Linked DNA regions of Yarrowia lipolytica. The protein of the gene in region 2 interacts with the protein of the main gene of each other region in a pairwise test. Links are inferred from orthologs where the notes say so. Each region holds a gene or a part of one and is shown on either strand. Other genes may lie near its edges.

Evidence for each region. The genes of interacting proteins can lie anywhere in the genome.
Region 1: the proteins of YALI1_A17177g (region 2) and YALI1_E39385g interact in binary tests that used the Saccharomyces cerevisiae proteins (3 or more experiments, as listed by UniProt). The link is inferred for Yarrowia lipolytica from reciprocal best matches to the Saccharomyces cerevisiae genes CHC1 and CLC1.

What each region holds. Positions count from the first base shown.
Region 1 is NC_090774.1:3,936,812-3,939,640, reverse strand, and holds YALI1_E39385g (uncharacterized protein), read right to left. Parts: upstream 1,157-2,829; coding exon 503-1,156; downstream 1-502. Other genes in the region: YALI1_E39395g (uncharacterized protein), read right to left, coding at 1-152; YALI1_E39378g (uncharacterized protein), read left to right, coding at 1,784-2,829. UniProt on the Saccharomyces cerevisiae protein: Clathrin is the major protein of the polyhedral coat of coated pits and vesicles. In yeast, it is involved in the retention of proteins in an intracellular membrane compartment, presumably the trans-Golgi. The yeast light chain is important for cell growth.
Region 2 is NC_090770.1:1,712,382-1,720,010, forward strand, and holds YALI1_A17177g (uncharacterized protein), read right to left. Parts: upstream 5,852-7,629; coding exon 5,736-5,851; intron 5,350-5,735; coding exon 534-5,349; downstream 1-533. UniProt on the Saccharomyces cerevisiae protein: Clathrin is the major protein of the polyhedral coat of coated pits and vesicles. In yeast, it is involved in the retention of proteins in an intracellular membrane compartment, presumably the trans-Golgi.

The sequences.
Region 1 (2,829 bases), on a different chromosome or scaffold from region 2:
TCATGTGAGAGTACCAGCTCGATGAGAGCCTCAAACGGCACCGTTCCACCTGTTGTTACCAAGACCAGCATGGTGGTGTAGATGTTGAGGATGATGAATACGACACTACAGTCCCAGTTGTACAACTTACTCAATGCACTGCTTTCATGCATGACCGATTGAGGTCCAGGACGACTAGGATTGGCACACTGTTAGGTGGGATATTCCAAACGACTGTGACAGAAATCATGTCTGCTACTGGGCTGATTCTACATCTTTTAAAGCCGAAAAACGCGTACTCTGGCTGCATCTGCTTTTGTGCTGAATTTGAGTGTAGAGTTCGTTCGATTTACGTGTCAGTATACATGGACAAGTTGACACGGCTATTAAGATGCCAGAACTTGTGTGTGGCAGTAGCTACAAGTAGTGTACTAGTACAGCACCTCAAAAGCACATAATGTGACACTTCAACCAACACAAATTACTAATTGTTACTTCATTAAATCATTATCTTATCATACATTTAGTAACCAGCGGCACCAGGGGCGTCGACGTCACCCTTGAGAGACAGAAGAATCTCTCGGAATCGAGTCTTGTCTCGAGAACCCTCCTTGGTTCCGGTGTCAGAGTCATCAATCAGCTTCAGAGCTCGGTCCCAGGTGGTGCCAGAGGAAGAGGAAGTATCATCTATGCTTGCAAGGAACTCCTTGGCGGCCTCCTGAGTGGACTTGACGCCCTCATCACGCTTGGAGTTGTAGTTCTCGTAAAAGTCGTCAATGGCCTTCTGGGCCTTCTCAATGGTCTCCTTTCGCTTAGCCTCGGCCTGCTGGTCTCGTCGCTCAATCTCCAGCTGCTGTCGCTCCTTCCACTCCTTGATAGCGGTGGACTCGGACAGGTTCAGGCTCTTGACGGAGGTCTCAAGGCCATCGACGGGAGAGGAATCCTCGGTAGCCTCAGCAGTAACAACGTTGCCGGTGGTAGCCTGTGTCTCCTCCTCGAGGGCGGGGAAGTCCTCCTTGAATGCGTTCTCGGTGAGATCGTTCTCCTCGTCCTCCAGGGAAGGGAACGACTTCTTGAAGTCATCCTCGTCGGCGTGGGTGTCCTTGATGTCGACATCGACTTCGACATCCTGAGGGAGATCGTCAATATCTTCGAGAGCGGGGAATTTGTCAGCCATTGTTGATGTGTGTGACGTTGCGTTATTTGGGTGATGAATCTTGGGAGGTGATGATGTGGAGCTTATTGACGTCACGTGTCATGAAAGTCTAAAATGTTGATAAGGTGGCTGTGGTTGTGCGAGGAGGAAAATCACGTATGGAAGTGAATTGTTTTTGTTTTTTTTGAAATTAATCCGATCAATGCGACCAATTCATTATCCCTACATTTCCAGTAGCCCCACACAATCTCTGGAGCCCCCGTTCTGACTGTACTCAGGCACAGTCAATGACCAGCCTTCTTTGGATTACTGTACGTACAAAATGTACAGTAGTCCCAATGGCAACATCGTACAAATATTTGTTGAAATTGTACTTTAATTAGTTGGTCAGACAAGGACTATGCAGAACAACGTAAATAAGTTACGAAAGGCCTAAAAACCGACTTGCAGTTTGCTGCAATTCTCCAGAACAATCATTTTAGCGACCGCTTTTACTGTCTGGAGACAACCAGAAAAGCGACACACCTGTTTTTACACCGTAACCGACAACAGGAACGTTACTGACACACACACACACACACACAGATCCACAGGGGCTTTTAGCAAGCATCATCACTTCATATCTCATCCTATTCAACACAACACCACATGTCTTTCTCAGTGGACTCTTTCATGTCGAAGCTGTCGGCACTCAATGAGACCCAGGACTCAATTGTCTCGGTGTCTCAATGGATCCAGTTCCACCGACGAGCTTGCGGACCCATCGCACAGACCTGGTACGACTACATTCGAAACATTCCTCTCAAGCGAAAACTGGCTATGATCTACCTCGCTAACGATGTGGTCCAGCAGGCCAAGGCCAAGAAGAGAGACGAATTCATCGAGGCGTTTTCCACTGTCATTGTGGACGGAATAGTATCCACCTACCGCGAGGGCAACACCGATCTCCGGAACAAAATCAAGCGAGTGGTGGAGGTCTGGGAACAGCGACAGGTCTTCAGACCCGACGTAATCGAGGAGATCAATAGCAAGACAAGACAGCTTGACAGCAGCGAAGGGCCCACCGGATCAGATGCCCTTGGAGGCAGTTCAATTGGAGGTACAGGACTCGGAGGCATTGGTGGATCGGGACTTGGCGGTCTAGGGGGAATTGGGGGATCTGGCTTAGGAGGAATCGGAGGCTCAGGTCTTGGAGGAATCGGAGGGTCCGGATTGGGTGGCATTGGAGGAACTGGCTTTGCAGATCTGGGTGGCTCAACGGCAGCACCGTCAGTTCGATCCGAGTTGCAGGAGCTCAACACTCTGCTCGGAAAGGTGACTAAAACTACGACCGTCACTGAGACCAAGAGCAAGCTTGAGTCCAGTCAGAAGTCACGGGATTCGCAAGCTCTTGCTACTCTTCTTGAAACAGTAAACAAGACTATCACAGACATTTCTGCCAACCAGAAGCTGCGCAGCGAGATTGATAGTGCTCTGCTGACTCTCAAGAACAAGCAGGCGTCTCTCCTTGAAGAGGATAAACACAACATGACTATGTTCGAGAAGATGAAGAAGGAAATCCAAGATGCTCAAAAGGAGGTCTCCAGTCTTGTTCAAGATACTAACGGTGCGTCAGTTGAGCAGGCTCATCCTGAGGAGGAAGAGAACGACGATTACGTTCCTCAACCCGCTTCGGAACCTGCTCCAAGCGAGCC
Region 2 (7,629 bases):
AGTGTTGATGTTTTTTTTTTCTGGCAAAAAATAACGTGTTTCTGCACGCGTTCTAGGAGTATTAAAGTTACTTGAACATTCAAACAACTAATTTACTTGACACATTAGTTAATACAAAAAAGGGGACCTCAAAAAACATCCTAATTACGTAACCAAAAAAACAATCAACTCTTTGAAGCTCACAAATCTTTGCATAATTATCAAACACCCGTAAATCGGAATTTTCGGCGCGATTTGTCTCGTTATATTACACCTCGGCACTCCGATTTCCATCGAGTCGGGCGGTTGGTGTAGTGGTAACATATCTGCCTTCCAAACAGTTGCTAGCAGGTGCCAGGGGTTCAATTCCCCTACCGCTCAATCTTTTTGCTCCCCAACAGTCCTATTTCTTGTCGCTTAGTCATCTACCCTTGCAATCTGGGCTGACGGTTTATTCATGTTTTTGTTCATATTCTCTCACTGCTCAAACTGTTCTCATTATTCATATTCATACAAGACATTTATTACATTCAATCATACACAAATTTCCTTCTCTAGTACATTCCGTTGCTCTGGGTGATCATGAGCCGCTGACCTCCACCAATGATGGGGGTCTCGCTCTCGGCAGCAGCAGCGGCAGCCTCCTTGGCCTTTCGCTCCTCGTTGTCCTTCTGGAGCGCATGCAGCAGAGAAGAGCTCTCCCGGGTGACGTTGATCTTGTAGGGCATGGTGTAGTCCTCCAGCTTGTGTCTCCAGGCGACCTCCTCCACGACATCCTGTCGCAGCCAGTCGTAACAGGTGTACAGAGTTGCGACGTAGCACTCCTTGTTGCCGGTACCGACAAAGTATCGCAGCAGCTCCTCACACACGTCCTGCTTGCCCGACACGGCAGCAGTGTCGATAGCGTCCTTCCACAGTTTGTCCTGCTTGGACAGAGTGATGGACTTAGCAAACTTTTTGTTCTTCTTGTACAGATGGGCAGCAATCTGTCGGAAGAAGATAAGGTCGTGCTTCTCGAGTCGCTGGGCGAGATCGATGGCATCGTACTTGTCGTAGGCGTCAGCGGCATCTCGCAGAGTCACGTAGTCCTCCTCCTCAATCAGAATGTTGTGGTAGGCGTTGTTGACGGCAGCCAGGTTCTGCTCAAGCACAGTCACAAGGAAAGACTTGATCATGGGCAAGTTGTCGGACTTGTCAAACATTCGCACAACTCGAGACACGTCGATTCGGGCAGCAAGCACAGACAGCAGGTCAGTAACCAGCATGGGAACCTCCTTCATGTAGAAGTTAATGGCCTTGTAGTAGATCTCCAGGTTGGCCACCTTGACAATAATGTCCTTGAAGGAGGAGTGCTCAAACGCATCAGTGGATCGCTCCATGATGGCCAGAGCAGCGTTGTCCCACTCGTCGTAGTGGCAGTACAGGAAGACAAGCTCGGGCCACAGGTGGGCAGCCTCGCAGGCTCGGATCACCTTGGGGATGTTGACACGAGACCAGAAGAGCTTGAGGTGCTCCATCATCTGGCCAGGGGAGTACTTGGAGTACAGAATGGCCAGCTCGGTGAACATACCCATGTGGGCACGCTCCAGACCGAGACCCTGCTCAAACAGAGAAATGAGCTCGGTGAAGTAGCCGTGGTACTCGTACTGGGTGACGAGATCCTGCAGCTCCTCGGCGTGCACAATCAGGTTGAGACCACAGATCTGGGCCAGTCGGAATTCCTTGTTGTCGATACAAGCCTGGTTGACCTGCTTCCACACCTTGACGGAGGACGCCTTTCGAGCAGAGTCGACAGCTCCCTGGTAGTCACCGAGGTAGACGAGCACAGCGGCGAGCTTAGCCCAGTTGGAGATGGAAGAGTACAGAATCTTGGAGGCGGCGTAGTTCTTGTCGGCAAACAGCTTGTCTCCCACAGACTCCACATTGGCAACGTTGGGCGAGTCAAGCAGCTGCTGCATGGCTCGCAGGTTATCAGTGGCAGCGTAAGAGAAGAGCAGCTGAGAGTCAATGGCAGGCTCCCGAGAAATGTCTCGAGACATCTTCAGGAAATCAATCAGCTCCTCGTCCTTGCCGGCATGACTGGCAATCTCGATGACCTGGGCAAAGTTGGAGGGATCCTTGGCCTTGATGTAAGACTTGATGGCATCGCCAACTCGCAGACCATCGATCTGAGCCTTACCAAGCAGAGAGTACACCTCGGGGGTGTCGACCTTCTCGGCGTAGTCGGAGGCTCGATCCAGAGACATGATGTGATCGGTCAGGACGCTCATGACCTGGCCGTGCTTGTCGTGCTTCTTGTGGATCTCGTAGGCCTCCTCGTACAGCTCGTTGTCGATACAGATCTGAGCAATGTCGTCGGCATCGTAGTGGTCCAGACGCTCGATGTAGTTGCTGACTCGAGACTTGTCGGCCTTGACGGCGGTCAGAATCATCAGATTCTGCAGGTTGGCGTTCTCGCTGAAAGGAGAGGGCTCGAGAATGATCTTCTCGAGCAGCTCGAGCAGCTCAGCGGGGAGATCGGCAGCCATGAAGGCCTTGACGGCGATGGAAACGGCCTCAGGAGAGTCGGACTCGGGCACAGCAGTGCCGACAACAGCGTCGACAAGCTGTCGCTTGTGCTCGTCGCCAGAGAGAACCTTGTTCCACAGAGCCTCGTCCTGCTTGGCCAGCAGGTATCGAGCCTGCTGCTTGTACATGCTGTTCTCGTTGGTGATCTTGACAAGCTCGTCGTCCAGACCGCCCTTCTCGTAACAGATGAAAGCCAGGTAGGGGTCTCGCTTCTCACAGTACTTTCCGACAACCAGGGGGTTGTACTCGTTGTTCTCCTTGAGGAACTTTTCGGGGTTGTTGTTGCTGTCAATGTAAATTTTGGCAAGAGCATCAAACAGAGCGGTGTCTCGAGAACCACCGTTGAGAGTCTTCTCGAGGAAGGGCAGCAGCAGCTTGAGCTTGTTTCGCTTTTCGACCTCCTCGACGAGCTCGGACACGGGGACCTGGCCAACAACCGACATGAGCAGATCCTTGATGATGGACTCGTCACAGTCAACGTCGAGAAGAGCACCAATCACCTTGGGAGTTCGGGCAGGGTTGACTCGCTGCACGTACACCTCAATGAACTTGTACTGCTGGTTCTTGTACAGGTAGAGCACCAGGTCGTGCACAAAGTCGTACTTGTCGCAGACAATGATCAGAGGCAGCTGGTCAGGCAGGTGGGCATCCTTCATGAGGAAGTTCTTCACCTTCTCGGCGTTGTAGTGGTTGTTCTCCCGCACAATTCGCTCGATCTCGTTGGTCTGGCCAATGGCAGCGGCAGCAGTGATGTACTTGAACACCACATCGGGGTCCTCGCTCAGGTTTACAATGGACTGCAGGTAGTAGTAGAGACCCTCCTGGGAGTTGAACTCCTCAAACACCTTGATGAGGTTGAGCGAGCCCACCAGATCAGAGTACTTGGTGGCAATCTGCACAACAACCTGCAGGTTCTGTCGGATGTTGAACTTGAGCATCTCCTTGAGACACTCCAGAGTCTGGTCCACGGTGAGCTTGCCAAAGTAGGCAATCAGAGCATCGGGAGGGAAGTTCTCGGAGTGCACAACAACACGCTTGATGTCCTTGAGGTCGTCGTAGTTCTCCAGAGCCCGGTTCATCAGACCAGCCTTCTCACACAGAGAGGCAATTCGAGCACGGTCGTAGTGGGAGAACATGTCGGAGCCCAGAATGGCGTCAGCAACCTGGGGAGCGTTGATCAGGTTGACCTCCAGAAGCCGTGTCTGCAGGTTGCCCTGCTCGGGAAGGTTCTGGTTCAGCGCATCCAGCAAAAAGGCGGTGGCGGCCTGAATGTGGTTCTGAGACAGGAAAATGTCGGTCACCTTGTTGAGGTTAAGATCCTCGCCCTTCTTTACAAGCGAGGTGGCGAACTCGGCACCCTTGTCGGGGTTAACCCGCACAATGTTCTGAAGCAGGACAATATAGTCGGGAGTGTATCCGACCTTCTCGCAGTAGGGCACAATGTTGTCAAACTCACCGAGCTCGGCAAAAGCAGCCACAACCTTGAGAGGCACGTTGGCTCGAACGTAGACCTGCAGAGCGAGCTTGAGATCGAACTGTCGCACAATGTCTCCAAGCTCCTCGCTGGACTCGAGCTTGTCCTGCTGCAGCCACTTCTCAAACAGCTGCTTTCGGTCCTGCTGCAGCACGGGTCGCGCCAACTCAATAGACTCGACCTTGTTCAAAGAACCCTTGTCGAGCAGAGTGGAGAAGTACTGCAGAATGGGCGAGATGCCGCCAGGGGGTGCCTGCACGTTTTTGAGCTTCTGGATGGTGGCAGGGGTTCGCAGTCGGCCACCGGGTGAAGAAGCAGCCACCTTGGCGGCGTTGGCGTAGTCGCCCTGGTTGAGCAGCTGGGAGAACTGCTGCTCGTACAGGTCGTCGGCGCCGGGGAGGCCTCCACGAGAGGCGACAGCCAGAGCGACACCGGCGTTACCAAGACTGCTCAGAATGTACTGGACAACTTTCTGCTCGTTGAGCTCGACGGAAAGCACCTGTCCCTTTCGGTTGATACACAGGACACCCTTCTTCTGGTAACTTGCGGCGGTGAAGACGGATTCGCTGGAGATTCGGTTCATGTAGATGCACAGACCCTGCTCCAGGTCGTAGACGTGAACAAAACCGTACTTGGTCACGACGTAGACAACGCCGTACTTCTCGGCGGCAAAGACAGCCACGGGGAAATCGTTGGCGGCCTCGGGGGGGAAGAAGATATCCACCTGCTTCTTCTGGTAGACGGGATTCTCGTCCTTGTGGTCAATCTCGACGGCGTGCAGCTTGCCTCGGTTGGCGAAGACAAACAGATCCGATGGGCTGGCTCCATCCTGCAGCTGCAGCTTTGTGAAGGTGGCAGCGTGGCCCTCAATGGCCTGCGACACGTTTCGCTCCTTGCTGTAGAGCTGGATCTGGCCTGCAATTCGGCCGTCCCGCTGGGTGATGCCGACCAGAGCACTCCAGCTGCCGTTGGAGATGTAGTTGATCACCTGGCAGTCGTTGAGCGAGTGGTGTCGGTCGGTGAGCTTGACGGGGTCTGTGGTGCCAACCTTCCAGTGCAGAATCTCAGTCTCGGTGATGATGCCAATGGTCTCAGCGTCAACCCAGGTCCAGAACACCACGGGGACAGAGAGCTGACTGCTGCCCAGTCGCTGCTTGGTCTCGAGGTTGAAGGCCTGGAGGGCGCCCTCCTTGGATCGCACGGCAATCACAAAGTCGGTGGGGTGCATGATTGCCGAATCAGCGGAGATGTTTCGTCGCACGACATTGTTGTTGTTGTGGAGATCGATGATTGCCACGGTGTTGCCAGTGTTGGCTGTTTCCCGAACGCTGAGTTAGTACATGTAGGACATGTAGGTGTTGAGACTCGAGTGCGACGCGACCGATCCCGATCGCGATGGACTGATCCATCCACCAGTCGGACACAATCCAGACAGACAGACGAATCAGGAGAATCGTCATGTTGACACCATTGTTGTAACATCAGGATGCATCACCACATGTGTTCCCCTCCCCCCTCCCCCACAATCGCAAACATGCACCATTGCATCCTGATGACTCCACGTCCAATTTCAATCATTGATTCCATCCGTCTTGTTGATTGCGTATCCCGTCCCCGTCTGTGACCCTCGGTCGTCTATCTGTCACCCGCCTGTCCGTGACTGTCGTCTATCGCGCCTCTGACTATCCAAATCATCACCGCTCGCCATACTCACCAAACAAAACGATCACTCTGCAAAGTACATGTGTTGAAACCAATGGAGGCCTCAGGAACACCCAGCGATTGAAGCTGGAGATGCTCCTGAAACGTAATGGGCAAATCCTGTGACATGTTGAGGATGGTGGAAGAAAGAAAGAGTTGGGAGCACACTTGTGTACAGTTAGGCAACCTTGATGATGTGTCCTAAATGGCGCAGTACAGGAGACCGCAAACGCGGGTTAGGGAAACGGATAAACGGGGGCAAGGGCAGAATGGGCCCAACCCAGCCTCAGTACAACAATCCACACGAAATCCGCCTCGAAATCGCTCCACAATACCGTATGCTAGCCCTACTGAGTTGTGGTTGGCTGGACCACGGCTCAAGGTTAGGGTTTGCCTGGAGTTTACAGGCACACACAACGCACGATGCACACCTTGCCCAAGGGGTTAGGGTTCAGAACGTGTGTGTGTAGGTGGCAATTTCACGACCATCAGGATCAATTTAACGACATTTGATGACATTTGAACGACAATTTAACCCCAATTTAACGACAATTTAACTGAGTATTTTAAAATAACTATTGAATTAAGTGTAGGGGTGAAAATAAGGATGCAATGATAAAATGTGTACGGAAAATGTACGAGAGACACAGGTTTATGACAAAACCACGTTACGAGAAAACGCCGTTTTTCTGACCTTTGAAGCTGAAAATGGCCCTTTGACACTATTCGCTGGCGGGTCAAATTATCTAAACAATCTCATGCTGCCACGTTGTGTTCATTGTCTTGGCATATGTGCCCGCATCTTATTAGCCCAGTGCCGAAAAGTGGAAGTGGAAAAGTGAAAGTGGAAAGTGGAAGTTGAAGCAGCTCCAGCAGACGCAATTGAGCTGGGTAAGGACAGACAGGTTTTATTTATAGAGCTTTTGGCGTTGCAAACCGCTATGGGTTAGGGCATTTGACTACGAGGGCTATGAGCGGCTAAGTATCCCAGTTGCACTTGTACTTGGCATTTTTCACCCTGAAATTTCAGAGGGGCTGAGTCTTGCATCAGGTATGTGCAGAAGTGTCTCGGGGGTAGGGTGCGAGTGCGAGTGCGAGTGCGAGTGCGAGTAAAGTACGAGCGTATGAGGTTTACTTGTACCGGTTTGTTGGTTGCGAAATTGCGTACTGTTTCTTCAGATTTGGTATTCCAGCTGTGATCTCTCTGACTATTTTTATTATTTCAGTGAAATTGCGTTTTACGGAGTTAATCTGGTCGGAGTTAACCTCGAAAGTTGTGATCTCCGCTAAAGAGGTGGAAGGAAAAATGGGGAGATTAGTACGAGTATGAGTGAGTACGAGTATGAGTGAGTACGAGTATGAGTGAGTACGAGTGGAAAGGTGTGGGTTTGATGCAATCTTGGATGAAATCGTTAGAAGTACGAATCCGCTACACTTGAAGGTATTGTACTGTACCTGAATAGTAAGGGGGGAGCTCTAGATATGATATTGTACCGTTTATTCGAGTATTGGCACTCGTATTGCTACTGTCTGATACCGGTACGGTTGAAAAAACTCCAGACCAACTCGATCTTGGCAACAGACGCTACTTTGTTTGATGAGAAAAGAGGTCCATAAGTCGTCCCCGAAAGCCGAACACTTTGGAACCAACTCAGTCAATTGGGAATATTCTTTGCTTCAGTTGAATTCCAGCTCAAATTCCATCTTTCCACTCATACGTAGCATCCGAATATGAACACTTTGCACAACTGATTCGCAGATTGACGACTGGTGTTCACGGAAAGTCGACACTGGCTTCTAAGACAATCAGAAAGATGCGTTCCAAACTCGTTCTACCAGACCTCAAAAACCCTTGCTGCTCACTTCTGTAAATTAGAGCTATTGATTCGAGCGCTCTGTTCTTCCTC